Alligator mississippiensis: one gene and its partners. The protein of the gene in region 4 purifies or fractionates together with the protein of the main gene of each other region. This does not show direct contact. Links are inferred from orthologs where the notes say so. Each region holds a gene or a part of one and is shown on either strand. Other genes may lie near its edges.

Region 1 (7,165 bases), on a different chromosome or scaffold from region 4:
AGTAGCCAGTCTAATCTAATTTCTCCCTCAGCTCTCTCTTTCTGTCTCCATCTCTCGAACTTGGAAAGTTAAGTTTGCGTGGACAGGCTGACATGCAAATTCTTGCCATGTCACAGGTAAATCTAACTTTTTTTCCCAGCTGTTCAGCTGGTCTAATAAAAGATATCACATCTACCCAAAGGACCTTGCCTGCCTATGTCCTTAGACCAACATGGCTACAACCAAAAATCCATCTACCTCTTGTAGGCACTTCTGCTGCCCTATTGCTGAATCTTTAATATACTCGCCATCACAACGTCCATGGAAGGTAGGGGAGTGCTCTTATCCCCATTTCACAGTGGAAAATGAGACGTGGAGAGGTCAAGGGCATTTGGATATTACTCCAATGCCATACCCAGGAGCACTGCTGTGACCCACGCCACATGTCCTCACTCCCATGCCGCAGCACCGACTCCCAAGAGGAAACAGAGCCACCCATGAGCTTGCACTGCTGAGGCTCACTGTCTCAGGTGTACCGAGTAGCGTGGGTATGAGTAGTCTGTCACAGAGCGGGGCCTTCTCTTGTGGCCTAAGTCCCTACCCACTAGACCATCCTTCCTCCTGAGAGCCGGCCATTCTTTCAGTTTTGAGAGAGGTTGCCTTACTTTGGGTGGGACGAGTACAGCCCAGGTAGCAGCTGATCCATATCTGCTCCCAAACCCTTCAGCCCACTTCATTTTGGTTTGTCCTCCCAGTGCAGAAACGCCTGTCTGAGCGGCAGCCGCGCTCATTCTTGGTGCAATTCACTGCATTTGAAGGGCAGCCATGCCAGGGTCCTGCACTGAGTCATCAGGACCAGGCAGGACGACAAAGCAGCCTTGCAGTGACTAACACGTCCCTGTTCTGGTCACGGAGTCACGGGAGCTTTATGTTCTGTGCCACAAGAGCCAAACTGTTCACCTCTGAAACTCAATTCAGATCATTACCAAAAGACTCCTTCCATCAAGTGCATTCAAACTCCTTTTGTTACCCCATGGCTCCCTTTGCCCCCTGCTTTTAGCTTAATCCAGACACTATACCTGAGGCTTTGGGCATTTAGATTACACTTTACTTTTCATTCTGTAGCAAAGACATTTTATTGCAAGAGCTCCCTCTGGTGAAAAACTATAGCACCAGCACTTCCTCACATGAGCACACAGAAAAGCAGGGAGACAAGTCAAAGCCTCTTAGGACAAGTTTTGGGTTTGCAGCAGTTGTTGTTTTTATTAGTTTCCCCTTTAACAAAACCCTTAAAGGTAACAAACACAGAGATGGGAGAATTTTTTTTCAATTTAGTCCTCGTTAAAATGTTCAGAGTCTGGGAATGCAAAACTCTTGGTTCAGAAAGGATAAGTTTTATTAGATCAACTCGGTTGTCTCACACCAATACGGCTACCAAATACATCCCAGATTCTGGGAAGCCACTCAGTGCCATTTAGCAAGGTTTCATGCACTAACAATTCACTTAAACACGCCCCAGCAAATGAACACACACGTGACATACTAGTAAGTATCTGGCAGTTGTTGGAGAGAGGTGTGACTTAGCCTACTCCTGGTAAAGGTGCCCTAAATCCAAACCAAACCCCGGCTGCAAAACCCTGGTGAATTTGGAACAGTTTAGACCCGGGCTGGTAGGAGGTTTGCAAAAGATCCCAAGGTTTCGGCACGGTTCAGAAACATGTGGCTTATTTCTATTCACTCTGCAGGCTGGAGCAGCATGCCGTCACGCCGCTGCCTTGTAACCAGCTCAGGGAATGCAGCAGCTTTCCATTATGTAAATAGGGGTCCTTTCATTTAAAGCAAAAGCCAAAGAACAACTGAATCAAAACTCAAAACAGCAGTGATTCAGAGCTCAGCAGCGACTCTCATCCAACAAGTACACAACAGAAGTGAGCGTAACAATTCCCCGGAGGGAGATAACGGACCATGTACAGAGCAGGAATACAGTCAGAAAAGGGAGAGACAGGCCCCTGGTATAAAGAACCCCTGCCACTTTTCAGGCCAGAAGATCATGGAGCTGATGAGCTCCATGAGAAACTTCTTCCTGCTCTCCTGTGGTCAAATAAACTATCTTGCTACCAGCGGCTCTGGACTTCATATTTTTAACTGTTCTTTCTCAGGAGTCTTTACACAAAAACAAATTGCAGCCTCCCTTTCCAAAGGCCTACAGTCACTTATTCAGTACTGATACCACATACGCAGAATCTGCCTGGAGTCCACACGCAAGCACGAACGCCGTGTTTGCAAACCCGATGCACACAGGATAAATTGTAAAGACTCCACGCATGCCAGTCGGCCGACACGGTGGGTCTCTCTCACGGAAAGCATGAAAACGCACAACACGAGCAAGAGCAAGGGCTTCCGAAGAAACAAATCTCCAGGGCGTCAGAAGAAACAGAAATGTTACGCGCGTGAAAGTTCACGGAGGAGGAGGGAAAATAAGATCTCAGCTTTCCTACCCTTCTGGTCTTGAGGCCATGAGCAAAACACGATTCGATCTCGGCGGCAGCTGCACGACCGAACCATTGAATCAGCAGCACGTAGCGCTGAGCTCCCCAGCACGGTTGCGAGTGCAAGGTTGAGCTCCCCAGCACGGTCGTGAGTGAGAGGCTGAGCTTCCCAGCATGGTCATGAGTGCGAGGTCAAGCTCCCCAGCACAGTCGTGAGTGCGAGGTCGAGCTCCCCAGCACAGTTGCAAGTGCGAGGTTGAGCTTCCCAGCACGGTCATGAGTGTGAGGTCGAGCTCCCCAGCATGGTCGTGAGTATGAGGTCAATCTCCCCAGCACGGTTGCAAGTGTGAGGTTGAGCTTCCCAGCACGGTCGTGAGTGCAAGGTCGAGCTCCCCAGCATGGTCGTGAGTGCGAGGTCGAGCTCCCCAGTACAGTTGCAAGTGCGAGGTTGAGCTCCCCAGCATGGTTGTGAGTGCAAGGTCGAACTCCCTGGCATGGTTGTGTGTGCGAGATCGAGCTCCCCGGCACGGTTGTGAACGCAAGGTCGAGCTCCCCAGCATGGTTGCGAGTGAGAGGTTGAGCTCCCCAGCACGGTTGTGAGTGCAAGGTCGAACTCCCTGGCATGGTCGTGAGTTTGAGATTGAGCTCCCCGGCACGGTCGTGAGTGCGAGGTTGAGCCCCCCAGCATGGTCGCGAGTGCGAAGTTGAGCTCCCCAGCACGGCTGCGAGTGCGAGGTCGAACTCCCTGGCATGGTCGTGTGTGAGAGATCGAGCTCCCCGGCACGGTCATGAGTGCGAGGTTGAGCCCCCCAGCACGGTCGCGAGTGCGAAGTTGAGCTCCCCAGCACGGTTGCGAGTGCGAGGTCGAACTCCCTGGCATGGTTGTGTGTGCGAGATCGAGCTCCCCGGAACGGTCATGAGTGCGAGGTTGAGCCCCCCAGCATGGTCGCGAGTGCGAGGTTGAGCTCCCCAGCATGGTCGCGAGTGCGAGGTCGAGCTCCCCGGCACGGTCGTGAGTGCAAGGCACAAACTGGGGGGGCCTCGAGCGTGTTCAAGCACCTGCGTCTCCTACGCGGGAGCTCAGCAGGTTTGGGTCTGGACGGGGGCCCGATCGAACGCCCGTCGAAGTCAAGGAGAGTCGTTTTATCGATTTCACGTGGCTTCGGTTCAGTTCCCGAAGTTTTAGCGCAGGTTGGGGAAAGTCCAGCTATGCAGCAAGACACATCGCACGCAACCGCACGGGGGGGGGAAGGGATGAGCACATTCGGAGATTTATCGTCGTTCGAGAATCGGGACTCGGCTTCGAAACGGCAGGTGCTTCGGTTCAACCGCTCCGGCCTTCGGTGCCGGCGAGGAATGGGCAGCACCAAGAAACGAGGCGTTGGCGCCCCACACTAGAGCGCAGCCTGGACTCGCTGCCCTGAGTCGTGTCAGTGCGAGGGGGCAGACACGGGCCCGAGCGGCGGGAACGAGGCGCCGCCTGCACTCCGCCGCAGGGAGCACCACAGGCGGGAGGACCTACAGAGGCGCTCTATCCCCCGACCTCTATGACGCTGGGGACGCTCTGTCCCCACAGCGCGCGCCTCTATGCTCGTGGCGGGGCGGGGGGACGCTCTGTCCGCCAATCCCGTCTCGGCGTGCCTGGAGGCCGGCGGCGACGACGCTCTAGCCGGCGCGCCTCGCTGGCCGTGAGCGGAGGGCGGGCCTGGCGGGGCGATGGCGGCCGTGCGGGGCCTGCGGATCTCGGTGAAGGCGGCGGAGGCGGAGGCGGAGGCGCGCGGCGCGGAGCCCGAGCCCATGGAGGTGGAGGAGGGGGAGCTGGAGGCCATCCCCGTGCGGCGCTCGCTGCGGGAGCTGCTCCCGGTACGGGCCGCGGGGGGGGCGGGGGGCTCCGGCCTGCGCTGCGCTCCCCTCCCGGGGCACCGCGGACTCGTCCGCGCCTCGAGACCGGGGGGCGGGGTCGCCGGTGCTCGGGGGGAGGCACTGCGTCACTGACCCCCTTCCCCTGCCCAATCAGCTGCTCTGCGCTCTGCTCCCTGCCCTGGGCTTCCCGCCCAATCAGCTGCTCTGCTCTCTGCCCGATCCGCTGCTCTGCTGTCTGCTTCCTGTCCTGGGCTTCCTGCCCAATCAGCTGCTCTGCTCCCTGCCCTGGGTTCTCTGCCCGATCCGCTGCTCTGCACTCTGCTTCCTGCCCTACCTGTTGATCTGCACTCTGCTCCCTGCCCTGGGCTTGCTGCCTGATCTGTGGCTCTGCGCTCTGCTCCCTGCCCTGCCTGTCACTGGCTTCCCTGCTCCCTCCCTGGTCGGCCCTTGTCCCTCGTGGCCCGCATGCCCTAGGGCTTGCCACCCCTGGGTTAGCGCAGCGCTTTGTGAATGCTGCTTTACTAACCGATAGGAATGAAAGTCCTTTTTATTTTTCCCCTCCAGGTCACCGTGTCATTTATGGGTTTCTTTGGTCATAATAGGCTTGTTCAGAAGAGAAGCGGGGCGGTGACTGACGCTGAGGTTTTGGGGAACATGGTTCAAGCAGCGGTGGCAAGAGAATGAATGCTAGTTTTAGTGCAAAAGTTGACTTTGTGATGACTTTTTTTCCCCTTTGATAACTAAGTACTGAAAACGTATCCTTTTTAATGTAATCGGATTACATGAAGCCCGTTTGAGCGGTTGGAATTGGGTGGAAACCGTACTTGAGATGCCGCGGAAAAAAATCATGGAAATTAGAGACGGAAAAGATGTTTCATAATCACTTCCACTTCCTTGCTGTAGCAGAGTGAATTCCACCCTTGTGAATGCAGATATTTTAAAAGTAAATATCTAAGATGCTAAAATAGAGTGAATCTTTGCAAAAAAGTGTAATGATTTTTGATCCGTTCTGTTTGCTTGTAACTCCATTGACCCTGGTGAGAATTGTGCCTGTGTGGGTTGATGCCGCACTAGCTTGGAGTCAGGAGAATAAAAAGGGATGTGTTTTTTCTTTCAGAGCTGACTACTAGGTCAGATCTTATTAGTTTAGCAAGCTTGCTGCGTTTAGCCGTCATCCAGCATTTGTTGTAATTTTGCTTTATTGTAGGACACTAGCAGAAGATACGAAAACAAAGCTGGAAGTTTCATTACAGGAATAGACGTCACCTCCAAGGTAATATTGTCAAGTGTGATCCCTTTTTAAAATTTTGTATTACTTAATTGAATAGGAAGCATTTTCCTATGCTTCCTAAGGTGGTGGCTTTCAGGGGCCCGTAGTCCCTTTTTAACAGCCAGAGATAAGACAATAAGATTCTAGAGCTTTTTCACATGCTGTAATGACTCTTTTATACTCCAGCATTTGTAATTTACAGAATCTAGAAAGTAGACAAGCTTTTTGTGGAAACCCTGAGTCAGGCATCTTTTTTTTATGGTTGTATAGTGAAAGATTTAGCTGTGGGCAAAGCTTTTGTACTCCACCAAGAATGTCTAATACTGTTTCTAAAAGCTCTCTGCATTTGCCAAAAAACAAGGAGACTCTTATTGGAATTGCGGTGGTGCCACTCCACATCGCAATGCCCTTTGAATCAAGTCAGCTGAATTTTTCTTATTGTGCAAGTGACAAGGGAAAGCAAATGTTTGGCAGGAATACTGGGCTCCATTGGCTGGCGCTGTCTAAGGGCATTATTTTGTGGACCATTTACAGCTTAAACTTGCAGCTGGTCTCCTGGCTATGTGACATAATTTTAAAGCACTGGCACTTCCATATGATGCATCATTTCACCTTTTATCTGTGTAGTGCTCCAGTACCATTTAAGCCTTTATATCTTCAGAGCACTGCAAAATTTGAACCCCTGCAACAGCAGTGCTGATGCGTGAGTTATAGTCTCGTGTTGCAGTGGGAAAACCCAGAAGTTCGTGTTTAGGATTGAAAAACTTTTCTAGTTCCTAGTCACTACCTTCTTTGCGTTGGATGCTTGCAGTTCATTTAGACATTTAATGTTAAATTATCAAGGAAAAAAATCTTCCTACTTTGTTATATTCCTTAATGATATGCAACATTAATAACTGTGGGGAAAGAGAGGTGATTCTGTATAATGAGAAAAGTTTGACTTTTTAATCAGTTTTCAGAGATTTTCAAGGCAAATCTATCCTGAAATTATATCAATCAGGGCAATTCTTGCTTAAGCATTTGCTAACGTACTGAGTTGTATTTTAGTTCATGCCATTGAAAGCTGCTTAAAATGTCCTGTTAATATCCTATTAATTTGAATCGGTCCCAAGAAAGAAAACTAATGTTTCTCTTAAGAGATTGTATAAGATCTTTTGTATCCCTGCTGCTTAGATACTATGCTAATGAGCTCCCCAGAAATAGCTTGGATTACCAGCCAGAACAAGATTTCTATTGTTGGCTCTCCAGTTAGTATTGGAGAAGTGCTAACATAAAAAATATTCCCAAAAGCCATATGTTGCCAATTTTTTTTCAATTGCCTGAGAGCTCTGTGTGATCTGTATCATCTCACTTGTTTCTGTTTTTCCATGAAAGCAAACCAGTAATCTTAAAATAGAAGTTTAGCGTAGCCAGATGGAAGAAACCTTTGCTTTAAGAGAGGGCTTCATGAACTTTGGCTTTGTGTACCTATTTTGCTGATAGATAAACATGGTTATCATAGAGCTTAAAAACTTGCAGAGTTGCAGAGTGAGTGGCAGACAAAGCATCATGATTCTTATTATAT
Region 2 (7,251 bases), on a different chromosome or scaffold from region 4:
CACACCATATACTAAAACTCAAACATCTACCATAACACATTTTAATTTTATTTTGAAAAATATTTTTGTCCTGACTTGCACATGTTTGCATCGTGTGTATAGAGGTGATTGTAATAACTCAAGATAAATTCCCAGTCTATGTGCCATTGGGCCGGGCAGGCTCTGTGCTCCCAGATCTGGCCCGTGGGCCATATCTTGCCTGCCCCTGGACTTAAGGCTTCTGCTGGTTGATGGCTGGGAGCCAAGAGGAACTTTTTTCCCTATGAACACGTTACTAGCTTCTACTAGTTTATTTGTCTTCCTCTGAAGCACTGCACCTGGGCCACTGCAAAGGGTGAGGATCTGGCTAGGGTGATCTGGTGCTCCAGAAACTAGGAGTATTTATAAGCCTTTAAGTGTCTATTTGATGTGCCTGGATCATGCATGAGTCAAATATTGCCAGATTTGGGGGCAGGCAGCAATTTTCTCCCAGGTCAGATTGGCCAGGACCACTGTGGTTCTCCTGCCCTTGTCTGTGGCGCAGGCCTTGAACCTTTTGAGAGGATCATCTGAGCATCTTTTTACCCAACTAATTTTCTGCCAATGCAGTATCAGGGTGGTTCCTTTGTCTCTCCTGCTCTTTACTTGGGTCTGTTGTTACTTTTTATTTCATAGGGTTCTTGTGGTGTGTAAGAAGGGCAGAAGTGTCCATTTTTGATAAATGGTTGCCTGCAAACACAGGGACTGGTCTCTGCTCTAGAAAGTCCTTGCAGTCCTTTGTTTCAATGCAGGTGCTGTATGTATTGTGATCAAGTCATAACTTTCCCTTTCAGAAACTGCATAAATCAAGCTCTTTTTTAGTTTCTCACCAGAAAGTATATTTAATCATCTAATCATCCTTGTGGGTCTCCTCTGAATAGTCTCCAATTTTTCAATGCCCTTCTTGAAGTGTAAACACAAGATCTGGTCTCAGGAGACGCCACCAAGAGACACCCCCACTGCCAAATACAGAGCTACTGTAACCTTCCCCTCCTATTCTATATTCTCGTGTACACACAAAATGCATAGCCTTTTTATCAAAAACATACTACAAAGGGTTCTTGTTCAGCTGATTATCTATTGTAACACCCAAGTCCTTTTCAGAGCCACTGCTTCTTAGGATAAAGCTAGGATCTTCCCACTTTTCTGACTTGAGCTCTCTGTTCCTAGGTGCCTGATCTGACATTTGACTCTGTTAATATTGTTTGCTTGCATCCAGCATGGCAAGAGATCCAGATCCAGGGTGACCTGTCCTTTTCATTCTTTACCACTCACTTCAACTTTATTAGTAATTATTTTATGTTTCCTTCCCAGTTAGTGATAAAATATTAGTTAGCCAAAATCTCATCTGTGCAAGCCTTCATCAGGAATACACCCACCTGATGATTTAATTTTATTTTTGAGAATAACTAGTTAGCCATTTTTAATCAATGTAATATGCGCCACATTGATTTTGTAGTGCTCTGGTTTCTTAAAGAAAAATGTCATGCGTTACCAAGTCAAATGCCCTACAAAACTTTAAGGGCTTCTCTGTACTTAAAGAGCTTCCGCCTCTACAGCTGTGCCAGCATAGCTCTGTCTGCAGAGCCACCTTGAGGACACAGAGGTTTTCTGCTAACATATCTATACCTTCTTCCTGTGTACATAAAATAAGCCAAGCCAAGATAAGCACTCTTTTGTAGGCATAGTTACATCTGTATCAAGGGTTTTACTGACTTAGTTTTATCAATTAGGAGATGTAACTTTTAGTTTCGTGCAACATTTCTGTGCCAGGAAAACCTTGTCGTATGGAACTGGCCTGAGTACATGTAAAGTTCATTAAACAAACTTGTAATCTCATAAAAATAGAAAATGCATTTTACAAAATCAGAGAGAAAACTTTGCCTTGTTTTTCTATTTCTTTTCCCTGTAAGTCAGGCATGTTTTAATGAGCATAGCATTCTTTCTGGATTGTAACTACTGGACATCTAGTTCTTCATTTTAAACGATCGGTCAAGTTTTTCTGTTCAAATTCTTGTTCATGGCTCATCTAGTTCAAAATTGTTTTCAAATGGGTGATATTTGCCTTTTTGAAGCACCAAGTATATACCTTGCTGGTTGGGTATTTATTATGATTATGCATAATAAATGGAATAAAGCAATGATCGCTTGCACCTAAATAGCCATTAACTGTGAATTCTCTGACCACTTCCATTCATCTGTGCAGACGCGTGTCAAAATAGAATTGTTCATGTTGGATGAAACATTCTTAATTAAGAAAATGGCATCTATCATTTGGCATCTATCATTTTTAAACATTTCAAGTACATTTTAGAAGTCATCACTGAGACTAGGAGTTGTTTAAATAATCCATTTCCACTTAAAGTGGATACCAAAAACACCTGGAAATTAATAGGAAGAAGAGAAAGCAGCAAAGTACCTGCTCAAAAAGCGGAGGGAGACAACAGATAATCAATCACCTAGCGTTCTCGCCGCAAATACAGCGGACAAATCTCTCAGCAGCTATACCGCTATCAGAGTAGGGGCGAACACAAGCAAGGCAGCATCGAGGACAAATTATCCGAATTTTACAGATGGAGAAATATAAAGGGGACGTGCGATGTGCCAGAAACCCAGGAGCATCGCCTCCTGGCCCCAAATTACCATCAGTTTTAGATGCAACAATTGGATTGTCTTGGCTTACTTCATCCCGGCACCACTATTCAGCCCAGTAGAAAGGATACGGTCCTCAAGACATCATCCCGCCCAGCGCGCGCACCAAGGGGGAAGAAGCCAAAGCCGAGGAAAGCTCGGATGCTACAAAACAGACCTTTTGTTGTTACTTCACCTCACCTGAGGGCTAACCTATAGTTCTGGGCTACGTTTCCCACAGCTGACTAACCAGGTACGTTTTCTCCTCATCTTGGCCTGTCGGGGTGATGATACATTTCAGGTGGTTTCCATATAAACCAGCAGTTGACTGAGCCTAGCAAGGCCCCACCTCACGCCCAAACCCTTGCAACCTGGTCCTCAAATCACTGTTTATTTGGCCCAGCGCAGGGAGGGGGCGACACCCCACGTCTCCTCGCCCGCCCGCCCGCCCGCCGTCTCCCCCAGCAGGGGGCGGGGCCGCCCCGCTCGGCCCCGCCCCCGAGCGGGCGGTCCAATCCGAGCTGGGGGCGTTGTCCGGCCCCGCCCTCTGGCGGCGTGGAGCGGAGCGGAGCGGAGCGCAGCGCGATGGCCCTGGCGGCGGCGGGTCGGGCCGGGCCGTGGCGCGCGGCGCTGGGGGCCCCGGGGCGCTGCTACCGCACCGAGCGCGGCGTCTACGGCTACCGCCCGCGCCGCCCCGACAGCGCCCGCGCCGCCCGCCCAGATAGGGCGACAGGGGCCGGTCCGTCTGTCTGGGGGGGTCTGCCTGTCTGTCTGTCTGGGGGGGGTCTGGGTCTGTGTGTCTGCCGGGGTGGGGGGGTCAGTGCGTCCCGGCTGCCTTGGTGATGGGGGTCTGGGTGCGCAGCATGGCTGGTGACATCAGGGTTCAAAGTCCAAAGCCCCGGAGTGGCTGGTGGGTGATGGCCGGGGCCAGCTGGGCTGAGCCCTGACCTCCACGCGGAGCCGGGGTGCCTGGCACCTGTTGCCCCGGGGAAGGGATAAGGTGGCTGAGCTCAGCAACGTTTTTGGGCAGAGTGCCTAAAACACCTGCAGCTTGGACTTGTAGGACGCTGGCGTGCCCGGGGCAGAAGGCGGGGGGCTGTGAGAGGCTCTGCTGCAGCTGGACCGGTGGCAGGGACAGACATCAGACTGATATGCGCTGGGCACCAGACGGGGTTGCCAGGCCCCACTGCAAGCACAGCTGCTCCGGCGGGGGTTATTTGACCCCAGCAGTCTTTCCTGCCCAGAGCAGGATGAGCTCACAAGGTCCCTTCTAGCTCTAAACTTCTGTGAATCTGTGATGATTTGCTGCCAGAAGAGCACAGGCCCCTGAGGTTTCCTCTGCCCCTGGTGCTTGGGACTTCAAAACAAAGCAAAACCCTAAGCAGCGTCTTGGAGACGCGTGGGCTGGCTGCAGCTTGGGTCCCCCTTGGTGGTGATCCCGGAGCTAAGTGCTGGGGTGATGTAGTCATGCAACACGTGCGGAGTGAGAGGGATTGTGCAAGTGAGGTGATTAACTCCTCACCCTGGGTGGTTCATCTATGTCTACCCTTCACAGCCCCCAGCCAGTCACATTTGCGTAGGGCTGGAGAGACATGGCCCAGAGGGTACAGGCATATCTCTGTCCCCAGATGGAGAATGCAAGCAGATGACTATGTCCACTTGTGGCAGCGCAGCCCTGGCTCCTTCCCCACTCTCTGCCCTGAGGTGCACGTGCTAAGCAAAATGCCTTTGCATGCCACACTCTGGTGCCCGTGCCAGGGGTTGCCTACCCCTGCTCTAGAAGGTGCTTCTGTGGGGACTGGTGTTAGGAAACATGCAGCCGTATGGTCCCGGCCTCAGAAAGTTTACAGGGGACGACAGAGGGATGCAGGCAGCCGCTGGGAGCAGTGAGGTGGTACTGCTCAGCATGATGGGCAGGGGTCACTGCGCATCAGGGGTCTCATGTTGAGTTTCTTGTGCTCATCATAGCTGGAGAGATTTGAAATAAGGGAACAAGGTGGCTTTTCAGATATTTAATGGGAGTCCCCCTTTGGTGTACTATGTGATAAAGCATGGAAATCTATTGAGTTGGGCATGCGAGGTGAGCACAGTGAGGCGGGTGGAGGCGGGAGTCACCTTCTCCATATTCAATGGGAGAGGATAGATGGGGTGAAGACAGGTTGTGAAGCACCTTGAAAGCGAAGACAAGCCATAAGTGTGTGTCTATGGGGAAGAAGTGGAGGGGGTGAATGAAGAATAGTGATATGGGTTAAAGAGCTGAGCTCAGGAAGTGATCTTGGCATTTTGGATGCATGTCAGTGGGGGAAGATGCAGCATCGTCTCAAGGGTGAATGAGTGAAGAGTGTACGTGCTAACAGCGTTCTCTGTTTTTTTCCCTTTTGTACCTTTAGTTGACCACGGTCTTGCCCGTTTAGTAGGGGCGTACCATGAGCACGGCCACAAAGCCGCCAAAATTAACCCTTTGTTTGCTGGTCAAGCGGTGTTGGATATGGTACCTGAAATTCGAATGCTGTTGGAAGTTCTTCAAGGGCCTTTCAACATCACAGGTAAGTCTGTACCACAGAGCACGTCTCCCCAGCATAATGCAGTGTCCCAAGTTAGGTCGGGTATCTTCATGGGGCACAGCATTGTGTGGGTAGACAGGTTCCAGTGCCCAGCTCACTTGAGTTATGTTTGAAATCTGTCAAATAAAACCATTGAATTTTCTCTTCTCTGCTGCTAAATGAGCATGAGGTAATATAGCAATCTCACCACAACAGACTGATTACGTGCTCTGTCCTGAATGGCATAGCCATGTGTTAGGTAGCTGTTCAGTGATGTAATGCCAAATGAAAAATAATTTCTCTTGACTGATTTTACACTATTTACATTCTTTTATTCTGTCTATGACATCTGCAAACTTAGGTTATCATGTTTCCTGAAATCACGTAAGTATTCCCTGTAACTGTTCAGATAGCTACCCAGGTTACTTAATGATAGTACAGTATTACAGCAGTGACTGCGGTACTGGAGTGGAAGTCATGAGATCTGACTTCTATTCCTAGCTCTGTCCACTAACTTAACATGGTCTTGAGCAACTCCCAGAACTTCTGCATGTCTTGTCTGTCCATCTGGGAAATTAGCATTGCACAATACAAATGAATGTCAAAGGACCTTGATCATCTCTGAGCTTCACAATGCTCGGTACAGTACAAACACAAGATGCCAAAACCCAGACCCTGCCCTGGAAGAGTTTGGAGTAATATTTCAAACACTGCAAAGGAGAATGAAAAGTACCATCTAAGTCCCAAGTATTAGGAATGGTAATTCTGAAGTTTCTTGAGACCTTGGGCTTCAAATGAAGAACAGAGGGGCAGAAAGTGAAACTGTGCTTTCAAACTGTAGTTCCTAGTTAGCAGTGTCCTTAGACTGCTAGCCATTAGAGTGGCTAATCCCTATGGGCCTTCCAATCTCTTTTTGACCAGGACTTCTGAACATGGGGAAGGAAGAAGTGTCCCTAGAGGATGTGCTGGCTTACCTTGATCACGTATACTGCGGGCACATTTCTATAGAGACGAGCCAGCTGCCAAGCCCAGAGGAGAGACACTGGTTTGCTAAAAGGTTTGAGGAGCTAAAACAAGAAGCATTTACAACCGAAGAGAAAAAGCATTTGTCCAAGTTGATGTTGGAGTCCCAGGTACGCTGCATGTCTTTATGGCATTGGTACATAGCGATCTAGCCATGGACTAGAATGTCCATTGTCCAAACACCAGATCAAAAGGGGAAAAAGAAGCCTTTGGTCCAAAAAAGGTTATGATCTACATGCATTTATTTCTGATTGCCAAGATACGGGTTTTGTCTGAAGGTTGTAGCACAGAAATGAAATAATTCTAACTGGAGACAATTGCAGAAGGCACAAGAACAGGGATTCCTCAAAGAAACCGCAAGGCTCTGCAGCTACGAGTTGAGTGTTTCAGAAAGTGTTTTTTAGCAGGGGAAAATATTTCGGGGCAGTGACAAACCAAAGGGGTCTCTTCAACCAGAAGAGGGAATGGCATAGCACAGCATATTTTAAAAAAGAAACCCAGCATGCAGTGCTTTTAGGCGACGTTCTGCAAAACATTTGACATTCTAGGAAAGCCAGTAGGGCAACTTGTGAATATTCTGAAAAAAGAGGAAATACTCCAAAGTTGCTGGCCCGATGTTTTTGTATTAGACGTGGAGGCTGCAGAAACAACTGGGCATTGCCCTCAAAGGAACTTAAGACGTATGTGATGCTGTTGCACTGCTCTGTATTTCCTTCTCAGCTTCTGCTTCTGTTTTCAGTCATTCTCTGACTCCTTGTCACCTTCTAGTCCTAGTCCCTTTCAATAGGGATCAGTTTGGGAAGGAAGGAAACCTGCCTTTGTTTAGAGGGGCGAATGGGAGTGAGATCAGGGTTCTGGCAGTGTTGTCCCGAGGAGCTGCCTACACACCTAGTGCTGGCAGAGCATTTGGCAAAGTCATTCTTGCCTCGTTCCCTGTGTAGGGCAGTGAAACGCTCCCTGACTGAGTGTGTGGGCTGGCTGTACTACGGGACACCAGCCAAATATTTTTCATATTGTAAATTTTTGTGGGTGGTTT
Region 3 (6,735 bases), about 11 Mb from region 4:
GTAAGGAGGGTCCGAAAGCCAAGCCCCTGCCTCCACATCAGCTGGGGAGAGGTAGCCCTGCCTCAGGCAGCCAGACCCCAGGGGCCAGTCTCACCTCCTCCCCCTCCCAGCTTAACAGCGCCACCTGCTGGAACCAGCTGGCAGAGCCACTCCGTGTCCTGGAGACTTCCCCTTGGGGGCATCCGGGGACAAAGGGGCACTGCTGCTGCCAGCCCAGGCTCTTGGAGGGGACAGCATCAAGTCCCTGAGACTCAGGCAGTAATACTGAAGCTGGCGGGTGTCACAACCCCCATGGCTACAGGAGAAACCCTGCGGCCAGGCCAGCTCCGAGGGACAGCTGCAGTTCTGGCTGGGCCGGAAGACTTTGGGGTTGTGGAGTGGGGGCTGAAGGGGCAACACTTGCCTCATGGGGGCCAGATCCAGTGTTCAGGTGGGAGGTCAGGAGCTTGGGACTCGGCCAGGACCCAGAGCCGCCCCCACGGAGCAAGGCAAGGACACCGGCACTGGCCCAGCTGCCGCGTCACTACTGCAATTTTATTATTGCATCAGTTTTAAAAATGAAAGGAGGCGGCGGGCGCGGAGCAACAAGAACACAAGACATTGGAGGGGTGGAAGGGTGGGGGGCAGGGTCAGGCTCCGCCCCCCGGCCCCCAATACAATAACCGAGGACGGAGAAGTCAGAGAGGGGCCAGCTCTAGCGCAGAGAGAGGCAGGAGAATTGTTCTTAAAAATCAGACAGCACCCAAGAGAGCCGCGCCAGGCCCTTGCACCCGCACCCGCCAGGGGAGCCTGCCCCCACGCCACCAGGCCGGGCTGGGCCCTGTGGCCCTACAAGTCCAGCTCCAAGTCCTCGAGCTCCTCCTCCAGCGCTTTCCGCCGTGCCAGCTTCTCCAGCTGCTCCCGGCTTGGCTGCTTGATCTCCCCAGAGTCCACACGCTGCTGCAGCTCCTCCACCTGCCGCAGCTTCTTCCGCAGGTTTTTGATCTTCTTCGTCTTCTCCGCCACGGCGGCTAAGGCCTCCCCGTCCCCGGGGGCCTTGGCACCGCAGGCCAGCGGCTGTGGTGGGGCAGGTAGGCCCCGGTCCCCAGCACCACCCCCCGAGAGTGTGGTCTTCTCCAGCACCTGGATCAGTTCATCTGTGTCCTTCTCCCCTTTCTCCTGCTGCTGCTTCCTCTTCTCCTTGCGCTTCAGGTTCCTCTTGGCCGTCTTAGAGAGCCCAACCTCGCCGCTCTCGGCCCGTGGCGCCGGCCGCCCGGGCTGCGCGTTGGCCTCGGGGCTCAGCCCGGGAGGCAGCTCGGGTTTGCTCTTGAAGAATTTCACATACTTGTTCTCGTACCTGTGCAGAATAAAACCCATCAATGCTCTGCTTCCCTCCGCTGCTGCGTGGCCCCAGCTTGACTAGGGCTGTGTCTGCCGGAGGGTGGCTCTCAGTGCCCACAGGCTCGTGGTGGGCAGCGGCTGGCGGTGACAACTAAACACCAGCCAATTCCAGCCTGAAGCAGGAGCTGCACCTGCAGCAAATCAGCTCTGCACGTCAACACCACTCAGAGCACCCCCGCTCCACACCGAGTCCCCACCAGCCCCCCACCAAGGCCAAGCAAGCTATTGGGAATGGCTCTGGGAATAACCCTCCTGCCTGGCCGGCCCCGCAGAAGGGGCAGTGCCAAGCACCGGCCCCAGGACCTGAGCCCTTTGGGGGATGCGGGCACAGGCAGCCCCCGCGGGTGGCTCCGCACAGCCGAGCCCCCATGAAACAGAGCTCCAGCCCTGGGTGCTGGCGCCGACACGGGCACAGGCCAGGGAGGACGACACCTGGGGCCTTGCCTACGGGCCGAAGCCGGTGGAGCTTGCGCAGACAAACCCGACGCCTGTTTGGAACTGGGCTCAACCACAATCAGGGCCCGCGAGAGATGTGCCAGGTGCGGGGAGCAGAGCCGGGCTCTACTTACACGGGCACCTCCTCCTGCGGCACGTAGCCCTCCTTCACCCGCCGCTGCTTCCGCCAGGTGCCATCCGGGCGCTGCGTGGACGCGATGTACTTCCCTGCGCGTCGGGACACGTGTTACTGGGGGGGGGGGCCCAGCCCCAAAGCAGCTCATGGGAGCCCTGCAGCCCCCCCACCCCCCCCAGCCTGGGCAACTCCCTCTAGCCAGTGTCCCCCCCCAGCCCCAGATCACAGTTCTGCTTCCCTGCAAGGGTTGAGGGGAGGGGGGGGTCACAGGGTGACGACCGGGAGCTGGGGGGGGTCACACATCACAGGGAGCCAAGACAAGGGAGTCACAGGGGCAAGTTGGGGGAGGCCCACAAAGGTCAAAGGAGGGCCAGGCTGGGATGGGGAGCACGGGTCGGGGGGGCAGGCTGGGGGGGGGGGGGGGCCAATACCACCCACTGGAGGCCGGGGGGGCGAGGGCTTGGCTGGGGGCGGGGCTCGCACAGCGCGGGGGCGGGGCCAGGCGAAGGGGCGGGGCCCACCGCGCCCGGGGGCGGGGCCAGGCGGGCAGTGCAGCTGGGAGTGCCGTGCGGCCCGGGAGGCGGGCGGGACCTGTGGGGGGGCCGCGCCTCGCGCACTCACCGGTCTCGTCCGTCACATAGGGAGTCGCCATCTTGGAAACGCGACCCACTTCCGGCCGCGCGGCCCCGCCCCGGAAGCGGCAGAAGTGGGTGGGGCGAAGGGGGGAGATAGGCTGGGAAGTGGGTGGCCATTTTGTTTTTAAAGGGCCAGGGGCGTGTTCGGGGGCTCCCCGCGCTCGGGCACTGCGGGGCGGGGCCTCCGCGAGCCTCCAGAGGGGTTCCCAGAATGCACTAGGGCCTAAGCTAACCCCCCCCCGAAACACCAGCCCCCCTACATAGCCTTGTGGGTCTCCGTGGCAACCATGCCCCCACCCCCAGAAAGCCCAGGTGGGGAGGGTCAAGGGTCAGGGGTCCCCGGCTGGCAGGGGCAGGCAGTGGGAGGCCACCGGCGACCCCTGACCCTCAGGCCCTGGGGACCCGCTCTAAGAGGTCCCCATGGCAGCCCGGGGGCTCCCCAGGGAGTCCTGCCCCAGGTGGGGGTCGGGGGTCAATGGCTGCTTCCCAAACTCTGCCCCTGCCAGCCAGCAACCTCTGGCCCTTGACCCCCCACCTGGAGCAGGACTCCCTGGGGAGCCCCCGGGCTGCCATGGGGACCCCTTAGAGCGGGTCCCCAGGGCCTGGGGGTCAGGGGTCGCCGGTGGCCTCCCACTGCCTGCCCCTGCCAGCTGGGGACCCCTGACCCTTGACCCCACAGGCCCCTAGCTGCCATGGGGAGACCCTAGGGCAGGGGTGGGCAAAATGTGGCCTGGAGGCTGGATGTGGCCCGCCGGGTTATTCTATCCAGCCCACAGGGCCCCTAAAAAGTTTAGAAAATTAATATTTATCTGCCCTGGGCTGCCTGTCGATGGCTTGCCAAAACTCAGTAGGCAGCCCTCTGCCCAAAATAATTGCCCGGGCATGGCAATCAAGCGGCTCCGCGCGTGGCCTGGGCAGCCCTTGAGGCCAGGCCGGGGGCTTCTGCCTGCCTCACCAGGCAAGGCAGGTCTTGACCCTGGGGCCAAGGCCATGGCCCCTGCCCCGGAGCGTGACCCTGGCGAGGCCCAGCAGCCTCCCAGCTGCCGTGACTGCAAGTGCAGGCGGATGCTGCGCTCCTGCTCCCTGCGGGCAGGCGCAGCCCTGCGGCAGCTGGGCAGGAAGCGCTGAGTAGAGCCGGGCGCTGGAGGAAAAGGCTGTTTCCCCTGCCCTGGCACAGAGCTATCGAGCTGTGCTGCTCTCGCGGAGGCCAGCCTGCCTGGCCTTACCGGCGCCCGGCATTTAGCAGGCCCTGACAAGCTGCCCAGACGCCGAGCGCTCCCAGAGCAGCCAGGGCGGTCGTGTGGCCCCCATCACCCCTCCAGTGCAGTGGAGCTGCGGCAGCTGATCCTTATCAACTGAGACTTGAGGTTTACCAGGCAAGTGCCCGGCGGGCAGGGAACCCCGGAGCTGCGACCGCTGATGTGGGCGAGAGATGCCGGGGGGAAGCCGTTGTGGCCAGGGAGGTGCCGCATGGGGAAAGCCTGTGTCCCCAGGGAGGTCAAGTGCCCTCCCTGCCCTCCTGCAGATGCCCTGGGGCGGATCCGTGTCATACAAGGGTTCGGGGGGGGGGCAGGGCAGCCCCCCTGGTCAGCGGGGAGCAGAGTGCCCTGGGCAGTGGCAGGTCCCTGCTGCAGCCCCAGGCAGCCAGAGTCCCCCCAGGGCTGCTCTAGTTTGCACCAAGGACAGCGCCAGGCCAGGACAGGGTCCAGCCCCATGTACAAGCGCAGCTCTGGGAACAGGCACCAGCTTCACAGAGGTTGCAGCCTCCTTTGGCCACGTCAGCACCAGGGGAAGTGCCGTGTGCCAGGGGAAGGCTCAGCCCTGCGGTCAACGCTAAAGGGCCGTGGTTAGTCTGGAAGCAGGCAAAGAGAAAGTGGCCACTTGGGAGGGAAACAGGCTACGGGTCTGTGTCTGTGGCTGGCGCTGGGGAAGGTGCCAACCTCCTGGATGCCCAGCCAGACAAGGCCGGCACATGCTCTGTCTCATGACTGCTGTGTTGGGCCTTGCAGCCCAGGCTAGGGTCCAGACTCGGGGGTGCTACTCTGGCTACAGCAGAAGGGGCAGAGCCAAGCCTCTGGGCTGCTCCCCCCAGCTCCTCGAGGAGCCTGGACCCCCGGCTGGCACGCAGGATTCCTGGGTTCTTTGCCTGGTAGACGCGGGGCTGCCCTGTATCATGGCCCCTGTACCACCAGGAGCACAGGGAGGGTCTCCTGGAGTGGAAGGGTCCGAGTTGTCCCTTGGCTCTCCGTGGTCCATGCATGGGCATGCATGTTTGTGCACATGCACACGTGTGCAAGGAGTGGGCTGCCAAACCAGGCAGGGGCCCCAACCCCCTCTTCTCCAAGGATGCAGTGCCCCCTCCATGAGCACAGTGCTCCCAGTCCCCATTGACTTTCCTGCCCCATCTCCTTGGGCCCCCCCACCCTGCCCTGGGCTGGCATCCATGGAACGGCACTGCCAGTCTGTGCTGGCGCCTTGCCCCGCGGTGGCGCTGATTCACCCCGGTGCTGGGCAGCCAGGCTGGACTGGGAGCTGAGAGCTGGGAGCTGAGCAGGTGGGACATGTACACGTGCACGCTCTTACACGTGTATGCATACATGAACATGCACACTTGCATGCATGCATACATATATATACATGCGCACATGTACAGATGCATGCACTTGTGCATGTCCACATGTGCAAACATGTGCACACATACACTCACAGGTACACATGCATGTACATGTGTGTATACTTCCACGCACGTTCGTACATGCACACACACTACACTGACATGTACAAACATATGCACACACTCACATGCACAAGCTCACATGAACTCGCACACATGCACTTACATGTACACACATGCACAACACCCGTACATGCACATGCCCACACACCAACACATGCTGACATGTACATGCACACATACAGTCACATATACACAGGTGCACACGCTCACATGCACAGGCACGCGCTCACACATACCTGCACACACACACTAGCATGCACACACGCAGAGCTGTGCAGCCCCGCGGCAGACGCCCACACAGTGCCTGGTGCCCCGGGAGCTGGGGCCCGGGCTCTGCAGCAGCCTTTGTTGCTCTGTGGCTTCCGGCTCCGCGGGCACCTCCAGGGGCAGTATGCCCGGCGGGGAGGGGAGGGAGGCGGGCAGCCCCTCCCCCGCCACCCTTGCCAGAGGAGGCCTGGGCCGGTCCCTGCCTGCCTCTGGGAGGGGCTGCGGCTGGGGCTGGGGCTGGGGCTGCGGCGCGTCGTTCGTAGCTGCTGCGGAGATGAGACGAGGCGGCGCTCGCACCTCTCGCCCACGCAGCCCCGCGCAGCTGCAGCCAGGGAAATTCCGGGCGCCAAGGCCGCCCCCGGGCCCTGCCATGGGCGGGGGTACCTCGGCCTCCGGGACCCGGTGTGGCCTCCCTGCCACCACCTGGGCCTGGGAGAGAGAGACCTATGCCGTGGCCCTGGTGCTGGGGACACAGGTCACAGCCTGGCCCTTGGGTGGCACAAACCTGGCAGGTCTCAGTCCAGGTGCCAGCAGGGCCTGAGCCCCCACCCCTTCTCACAACTGCCCCTCCTGCCATGGGGGCCACATGGGGGCAGGAGGGAAGGAGGCGCCACAGGGCCCATGGCGTTCGCTGCCTCCAGCTCTGCTGTCTTGCCGCCCGCGTGCGGAGCCGCCCTGGCCTGCCGGGGCCTGTGCGGGGGCCCAGCTGCGCCAGCCTGGCTCTGAGCCGCCGAGGTGTGCCAGCAGGCAGTGCCGGAGAATGCACACTCACATGGGCATGCACACGCTGATCCAGGCGTGGCACGTACACTAATCCAGGTGTGGCACACACATGCTCACACCATACAAGCAGATCCTACGATGACAGGCTGAGAGCCCTGGGGCTCTTTAGCCTGGAAAAGCGCAGGCTCAGGGGTGATCTGATGGCCACCTATAAGTTTATCAGGGGTGACCACCAGTATCTGGGGGAACGTTTGTTCACCAGAGCGCCCCAAGGGATGACGACTAGGTCGAATGGTCATAAACTACTACAAGACCGTTTCCGGCTGGACATAAGGAAGAATTTCTTTACTGTCCGAGCCCCCAAGGTCTGGAACAGCCTGCCACCGGAGGTGGTTCAAGCGCCCACATTGAACACCTTCAAG
Region 4 (7,344 bases):
AGAGACAAAAGCCCCAAGGACACAGACGAACTGTGCCCGGACTCAGGTCCAAGCGAGAGAGGCAGAGACCTGATCTATCCCATTGAGTGTGTGCTCCCTGCTCCAGAGACAATCCTGGACCCATTTGGCTCCTGCTGGGCAACTTGATCCCCTGCCAGGATGTGGCCCCTTCTCACCTTCTCTTCCCTTTGGGTGGTCCCCGAACAAAGCACCAGTCCACGCTAATGGGCTGCCCCATCAGCTCCTGCCCGTTCAGCCCTTCCATGGCCGCCTGAGCCTCCTTGTAGGTCTCATACTCAACAAGTGTGTATCCCTGCAGGAGGCAAGGACAGTGGCATCAGCACCCAGTCACCCTCACTCCACGCTCACCTTGGCTCCCAGCAGTAGACCCCTGGGCTTCCAATTCCCACAACCCCTCTCCACTTGTTCACCAGTGTCAGGAATACAAGCCTGAAAGGCAAGGCTGCTGCCCTGCCCTGCCCTTCCAGCTATTGCCCTGAACTGAACTGCTCACTTGAACCAGGAGCTTCCCAGAGAGGTGGGGGACAGGGATCCATATTAGTACCCAACCCCTCTTCAAGGCTCTTTCTTAGTATGAAGCCTCCCTAGCACTTCTCTGTGATATGATCCCATCTGGGATTCAGCTGTGAAACCATAGGGATCTCACAGGGATCCCATGAAAGAAGCCAGGAGTCCCTTGCTGTTACCAGCAGCACCCACCGCACCTCAGGCTGAGATCAGAACCCCGGCATCCCTGTGCTCACACACAGTCTCCTCACCCTGCCCAGATCATTTGTATGAAACATTAAGGGGCAGCTGCCCGTTTAAGTGCAGCTTTGGCCTCCGTGTCCGAGGAAGCTGTGCACCTCAAAGGCCCACCGCCCCCACATCATACAGGCAAGAACCTGAAGCACAGAGATTAAACTATGTGGCACAGATACAGAGTCTGTGGCAGGGCAAAGACGTGACCACACCTGTCTAGAGACCCCAGCCAGCCCTCTCCCTACCAGCCCCCTACCTTCAGGTAGCCCGTCCGCCTGTCCAGGTTCAAGTGGATGTTCTTGATCTCGCCATACTCAGCAAATTTGTCGTGAATGTCCTCTTCTGTGGCTTCCTCGTGGACTCCCGTGACGAAGAGAATCCAGCCCTCCACCGCTGCGGGCAAAGGGAAGCAGCGCTCATTACCCAGATGCCTGGTCTGAGAGCCCTAGTGAACTTGCACGTGCACAGCTTCACAGCCACACCAAGGAAGGACATCCCTACTCCCACCACATCTCAGCCTGGGTAGCTTGTAATCTCCTATTGGCCTGAAGACTCTGGAGTGGAGCTATGGGAGGAGGAATGGAGGGGTAGTGAATGCAGGTGCTCGATGCCCCTGGCAACAGCAGTTCTTCATTTACTCCTTAATGAGGATGGCTGCAGAGCAGCAGGAAAAGTTTCTGCCCCCCAGACCCCTGCAATGAACCTGAATCCTAACCTAGAACAATCCCAACACCCCACGAGCACAGACAAGTTGCTCTGTGTGTGGTTGTATCAATGGTGACAGCAGCGATACCTGGCTCTCAGAGAATGCTTCTTATCTTTCACAACTTTACAAGGGAGGAAGCTGAGACACTAGGGTCACAGAACCAGCCAGTGGCAGCACTGCGAATAAAACCCACATCTCAGATTCACAGAAGTTCAGCGCTGAAAGGGACCTTGTGAGATCATCAGGTCTAGCCCCCCTGCTCTGGGCAGAAAAGACTGCTGGGGTAAAATAACCCCAGCAGTCCCTTGGTCCCTATCCAGCATTTTACCCACCGGACCCCACTTCAATGAAAGACTTGGCTCCGCCCTTCCTTAAAGCAACCTCGTGTGACACTTCACCCACCAAAGACCCCAGAACAAATCCCCAGCTGTACTCACATCTCTGAGGCCCCGGCTCGTCCCCGTCCTGCTCCACGCTGTCATAGTCCTCACGCACTCGGGCCCTGGAGCCTTCCTCTGGGCACAGGGGGAGAAAAGCAAAACGTGGATCATTTCAGACAACTAGTGACGGTTTCCTGCGCGACCACCCCACCACCAGACACCCGAGCTTGTAGACACCGGTTTTCAGACACCCTACCCCAAAGAGCCTGTAACAGTAGTGATGCAGACAAACATGTATTCATAGGATCATAGAAAATAAGGGCGGGAAGAGACCTCAGGAGATCACATCTAGTCCAACCCTGAGGTCATCTGATCCCAGCGGTCTTCGCTGCCCACGTGCAGGGGGGCTGGACCCGATCTGTAAGGTCCCTTCCAGCCCCTAACGACCGGGAAACCCCCTGCTCCAAGCAGGACCAAGGGCCGCGGGGCAGACAACCGAGTACCCTGCGCACGTTTGCTGCAGGTAGGGAAGGGTCTGGACAGCCGGACGCGGGAGACAGAGGGATCTGCTCACAGCTGAAAGGCCCCAGGCATCGCAACACCCCCGGCCCCTCCCCCGCTCTGCCCTGCCAGCAACAAGCGGACACCAGTCTGGAGGCTGCACTGGAGGCTCTGGGAGCACTGGGATCCCCGCGCGCAGACGGACAGAGCCGCGGGGGTTGCAGCCACGTCCTTACCTGAGCCGAAGCCTCTGCCTTTGCGCTTCTTGGCCTTCTCCTTCAGCTTGTGGATGCTTTCTGCGGGCAAGACCGGGCGGTCAGCGCGGGGGCCGGAGAGAACCAAACCGAGCCCCGCGGGCAGGAGACCGGGCGGGGCGGGGCGGGGCGGGGCCAGAACCGGCGGGAAAAGGCTTGAAGCGGGACCCAGAACCGGGACTAGGCCAGCCCCAGGCCGGGGGGCGGGGGAGGCCCGATGGGACCCGGAACCGGGGGGGACCGGCCAGAGGGGGGGGGGGGACATCCGGGTCACCCCGCGGTACCGTCACCATCCTCGTCCATGGCGAAGTCCTCGCCGCCCGCCTCGTGCAGATCCAACACGTCCGCCATCTTGCCGCGCTCCGCCGCCACCGCTGCCGACCAGAAGTTGCCCCGGTGCTGCAAGGCATGCCGGGAAGCAGGGCGGAAGTGTCCTCACCCTATGGACAGGAAACCCCTGCTAGGGGCCTCCATCTTGAGAAGGGAATGAGGCAGGGGAGAAGCGTGATGACGCAACGACGCTGCTAGGTGGCGAGCGCCGCCATTTGGAGAAGGGCGTCAGGCTGGCGGCGGGCGCCATCTTGGGGTCTCCATAGCAACCACTCAGGGCCCAGTTTAGGCCTTTTTGTCTCCCTTAGTGGTGGGTTCCCCTCCCTGCCTGAGACAGCCCAGCCACAGGCACGGCAGGGTGCCAGGCTCTGGCTGCACCCCTCAGGACCTGGCCTGCACCCTCCAATGGGGGGGATTAGCCCCTATTAGACAACAAGCTGCCCCCCCTACTGGGGTTGGCCCTAAACATGAGGCTCCTTTAAGAAAGCACCACCTCAGGGGAGCCCCTTGGTGCCCCCAGAGTCCCCTGAGCAAAGGGAGCCCAGCGTTCTAGTGGTGCCCCAAGGCGGCGAGTCTCAGCCGGGCTGGGGGCGCCACATCACCGTTCGCACAGTTAGGCGCGTCCTAGGACACAGCTGGAGATCTCCAATAGGAGGCCTGGGTCTGTCCCCCAATCTTGGATTCACTTGAGGGTTTCTCTGTAGTTGAAAAAACAAGTGAAAGCAGAGACGGCACTTTCTGAGGGGGCTTGGCGTCTAACGAGGGGAGAGGAGAGGATAAGCGCTGGTGAGCCGCCCGGTTCCCCAATGCCCCCGCGGGAGGCAGACGTGACAGTCAGTGCAGACAATTGTGCAAGACGGGACTCAGCCCTGTGACTTTTCCACCGTCGCAGCACAGAGATCTCACTCCTTTCCCCCCAAAGGTGGCAGGAGATCTCTGCGGCCTCTCCAAGCGATGTTTCGTGAAACCAGGCGGGTTCGGCAGGTCTGCATCTCAGCTGGCAGAGACGATGGTTGCAAAGCTCGCTCCTCGCACAACGCTGAGCGAGTGCAATGGGCGTAGCGAGGTGCCCGGACGAGAACAGGTGCCAGGTGGAGAAGCACTGGTCTAAGGGAAGGAAGATGAATCAAGTAATCCAGGCTCCAGGAGCCGGGGCTTGGGGATGGACAAAAACCCACATTGAGGAGGGCAGCACGAAGTTGCCACCCCCTCCCGACACCCAGAAAACAGCACGGTTGGACCGGGATCGAAGAGAGGATCCTTAACATAACTCCGGCAGCTTCTCCCCGTCCAGCGAGGAGGGTTGGCAGTCGTGGTGCTATCAAGGAAAGCTTCCCTTGAACAGGCTGGTCCTGGATGATCCCCCTACACAAGCAGTCTTCCTGGACAGGGATCACCACTACTTGTCGGATCGTAGAAAATGGGGGTTAGACCTCAGGAGGTCACATCTAATCCAACCTCCTGCTCCAAGCAGCTCCATCCCCAGCTAGATCAAGTAGGAAGGTTGTTCCTTCCTCCTTGCCTACCGGTTTCGTTGTAGGGGCACCTGTTTAGTGAGACCCCACAAACCCATTTCACCTGAGCCAGCCAACACTCATCCAAAGACAACATCCTCACCCCTATTTGCTGGGGGTAGAAATCGCCATCTATACTATGGCATCCAGTATGTTACTTTAGCCTTAGTCAGAATGGGTTGGGTTTTTTTTAAGCTCTTTTCCAAATGGAGAAGCATGGAGATCTCGTCGTAGCTATAAAATATGCGGGGGGAACTGCCAAGCGGCAATAATTTCTCAAGGAGCTTATGGATGCCAAGTGGTTTTGGACAGCAACTGCTTTGCGTGCGCAAGATGCTGTGTTTGCTAGTGAAACAGCCCAGTGCCATTCCCCCCCCACTTCAAGATTTTAAAAGAAGTCATGCTAGGTGGAAGAACAAAACTTTATGTTCCTTCTCATTTTATTTTTTGAAAAGGGTGGAAACTGTGTCTCTCACTTGGAGCAGCTCTTCATGTTCTTCTAGTCAGCAGGCAGGCACGTGAAATAGGCATTTCGTCCTGCCCACCCCCGAAAAAGAAGAAAAAAAAGAATGACACCATTTTATTCTGTATAGCGTCTTCTGCACATGTCCTTCCCGCAGGCCTTGGAGCGAAGGAGTTACAGCTAGAGTGTGAAACATGAGGCAAAGTGCAGAGCAGGTATGACCTGAAAAGAAAACAGCTTACACCCCCCCCACCCCCCAATCTGGCTCTTCATAATGCCTTCCAGCCCCCTTTATAAGCAGATGCTGCTACAGCTGTACTCAGTCACCGGTACCCATGAGCACAGCCATCTCCTTTTCCACCACTGCATCCTTATTCCTTCCAAGTCAGGCCAGAATTTCACTCTTCCCCTCTCAGGAGTCTCTGCTGGTTTCCCAAATTCAAGGCAGCAGAATCTCTCACGAGTGCTCTGCTTCTGCCTCAGTTGACAAGATTATTCCTTTATTTCTGTGCCTCAGCTTCCCCACCTTTCCTACAATCTGGGAGATGGTCCGATGGGAGCTACCAGTGCAGGAGCAAGCGTGAACAGCAGGACCAAACTGTTATTTTCAGCTAGCTCCGTGCTCAGCTGAAGAGGATTATAACGGGCTTCCGCTAATGGGAAATTTGGTTCTACAAACATCCGGCCGGTGCAGCTGTTCCTGTTCTTGTCCATTCAAACTGTGTACAGTACGCGACGTCTTCATCTCCCCTTCCGCAACGAAGAGGGAAGAGACCTATTTCTTTCCTTAAAGACCTGCCAGTCAGCATGCTACAAAGCAACTGTTGCCTTCCCCACCTCCAAGAGCTGGTAGCTCCGCTTTTCATAACAGTTTAAGGAGAGACAGCACATTCACCCAAAGGCAATACTGTTATTAGCCTTCCCATGCTGAAAAGCCTTTTAAAAGGAGTATTGGGAGGAACAGTGCAAGATCTGATCCTCACCCTTGCCTCCCCCCCACATTAGTTAAGGCAGCAAGGCAGAATTTGTGCAACATCAGCAGGGCTATGCTGCAAAAGATGGGTCAATAAATCCTGTCTGATATAACCAGATGCTGGGACCAGCAGGGACTAATTTGCAGGCAACTGTGGTAATTCTTAGGGAGAGAAGGGGTGGAGGGAGGCATTGTTCTCAGGTTTGTGATGCATCAAACAGCTAGTTCCCCCAGGAGAGGCCATAAACAGCAGCAGAGAAGCAGCTTAGGGCTGAGTGAGGGTAGCACCACATGGGCAGGTGTTTTCTCCATCAGCACAGGTGGTTTCTCCATTTCAGTTCCCTTTTCAGGTACAGGAAGGCTCCTGCAGGGGTTAGCAAAGAAAAGGCATGCCATCAGCACAGACAGGTTCAGTTCAGGCCAGCCTGCCTAAACCCCGGAGTAACAGACCAGAAACTAAGCAGCTTTTCATACCCGCCATGGCACACCTATATTTCAAGCAGGGAGGTGCCAATTTTGACACCAGCTATCCAGGGGTTTTTGTGAAAGCAACAGACACTCGTACGTTTTGTTACGAGGGATAGCAGCACATCAGAGCCAACAGCACACTGAACAGATCATCAGTCCTGCATCTCTCATTAGGAAAGGAAGAAAAAAGACAAACTACCCAAAAAATCTAGTGTTTTATTGTATAAAAATTATACATACAAAATGCACGTGTTGTACTGAACTTGGACATACAATGGAAGATGTGGTGGCAGTGCGTGAAAGGCAATTTATCTTGCTCTGGTTTTTGATTCAGACTCTATGCTGGGAAAATTGGAAGGGACTTTGGATGCCGAGAGCTAGGCTATTAACAGCACTGGAGCCGTGGGGATCTCCTGGCTGCTGATCCATCCCTTGAGACTCATGAGGTTCCAAGATCTGTTTTAATTAAAACAAGAGGAACAAAGTGTCAGATGCTCATTTATAATGAAGCTGAACTGGTCCTACCCAGGGAATCGTATTTTTGCAAGGAGAAAAAGGGCATGTAGTGTGGTCTGATATCTTCCCCCAGCTGGGAGTGCTGGCACAGGCAGATGCTAAGAGTCTGCCTGATTCAAGCCCTTGCTAAACAAAGACTGAACTAGCATTTGAGTCTCAGAAGAGGGAGTCACAGGCTGTTGAGGAGGCTCTATTTAAAGCCTACTCACACAACTGCCATGAGAGTTCAGTAGCCCATACAAAACTAATGATATCTTACTTGCCCGAGGAAGAGTCACTGCACAGAGGAGAATGCACATGCATTGCTCCATAAACAAGCTACTGTTTGTTGCATTTTTATATGCTGCTTCTACCACAGAGCTGTCTCATTAACGCAACTTGGCCTTTGAGCACAGAAAACTGACTGTTCGAGTGTATTTATTTCAAAAGATGGCCTGACTTCATTTTCACATGGCACCAGGAAGTGGTTACTACTCA

The links.
Region 1: the proteins of RBM8A (region 4) and NCBP3 purify together in Homo sapiens (co-immunoprecipitation; 3 studies listed by BioGRID and IntAct, with this or other methods). This does not show direct contact. The link is inferred for Alligator mississippiensis from reciprocal best matches to the Homo sapiens genes RBM8A and NCBP3.
Region 2: the proteins of RBM8A (region 4) and UPF2 purify together in Homo sapiens (co-immunoprecipitation; 6 studies listed by BioGRID and IntAct, with this or other methods). This does not show direct contact. The link is inferred for Alligator mississippiensis from reciprocal best matches to the Homo sapiens genes RBM8A and UPF2.
Region 3: the proteins of RBM8A (region 4) and PYM1 purify together in Homo sapiens (co-immunoprecipitation; 11 studies listed by BioGRID and IntAct, counting the BioPlex papers as one, with this or other methods). This does not show direct contact. The link is inferred for Alligator mississippiensis from reciprocal best matches to the Homo sapiens genes RBM8A and PYM1.

What each region holds. Positions count from the first base shown.
Region 1 is NC_081837.1:9,611,186-9,618,350, forward strand, and holds the start of NCBP3 (nuclear cap-binding protein subunit 3), read left to right. Parts: upstream 1-4,157; 5' UTR 4,158-4,184; coding exon 4,185-4,331; intron 4,332-5,538; coding exon 5,539-5,604; intron 5,605-7,165. UniProt on the Homo sapiens protein: Associates with NCBP1/CBP80 to form an alternative cap-binding complex (CBC) which plays a key role in mRNA export. NCBP3 serves as adapter protein linking the capped RNAs (m7GpppG-capped RNA) to NCBP1/CBP80.
Region 2 is NC_081827.1:13,570,549-13,577,799, forward strand, and holds the start of UPF2 (regulator of nonsense transcripts 2), read right to left. Parts: upstream 3,006-7,251; 5' UTR 2,851-3,005; intron 1-2,850. Other genes in the region: DHTKD1 (2-oxoadipate dehydrogenase complex component E1), read left to right, coding at 3,235-3,388, 5,040-5,195, 6,114-6,325. UniProt on the Homo sapiens protein: Involved in nonsense-mediated decay (NMD) of mRNAs containing premature stop codons by associating with the nuclear exon junction complex (EJC).
Region 3 is NC_081838.1:6,906,817-6,913,551, forward strand, and holds PYM1 (partner of Y14 and mago), read right to left. Parts: upstream 2,800-6,735; 5' UTR 2,604-2,799; coding exon 2,573-2,603; intron 2,044-2,572; coding exon 1,950-2,043; intron 1,337-1,949; coding exon 829-1,336; 3' UTR 514-828; downstream 1-513. UniProt on the Homo sapiens protein: Key regulator of the exon junction complex (EJC), a multiprotein complex that associates immediately upstream of the exon-exon junction on mRNAs and serves as a positional landmark for the intron exon structure of genes and directs post-transcriptional processes in the cytoplasm such as mRNA export, nonsense-mediated mRNA decay (NMD) or translation.
Region 4 is NC_081838.1:17,854,082-17,861,425, reverse strand, and holds the start of RBM8A (RNA-binding protein 8A), read right to left. Parts: upstream 3,022-7,344; 5' UTR 2,955-3,021; coding exon 2,888-2,954; intron 2,646-2,887; coding exon 2,586-2,645; intron 1,984-2,585; coding exon 1,906-1,983; intron 1,156-1,905; coding exon 1,019-1,155; intron 314-1,018; coding exon 177-313; intron 1-176.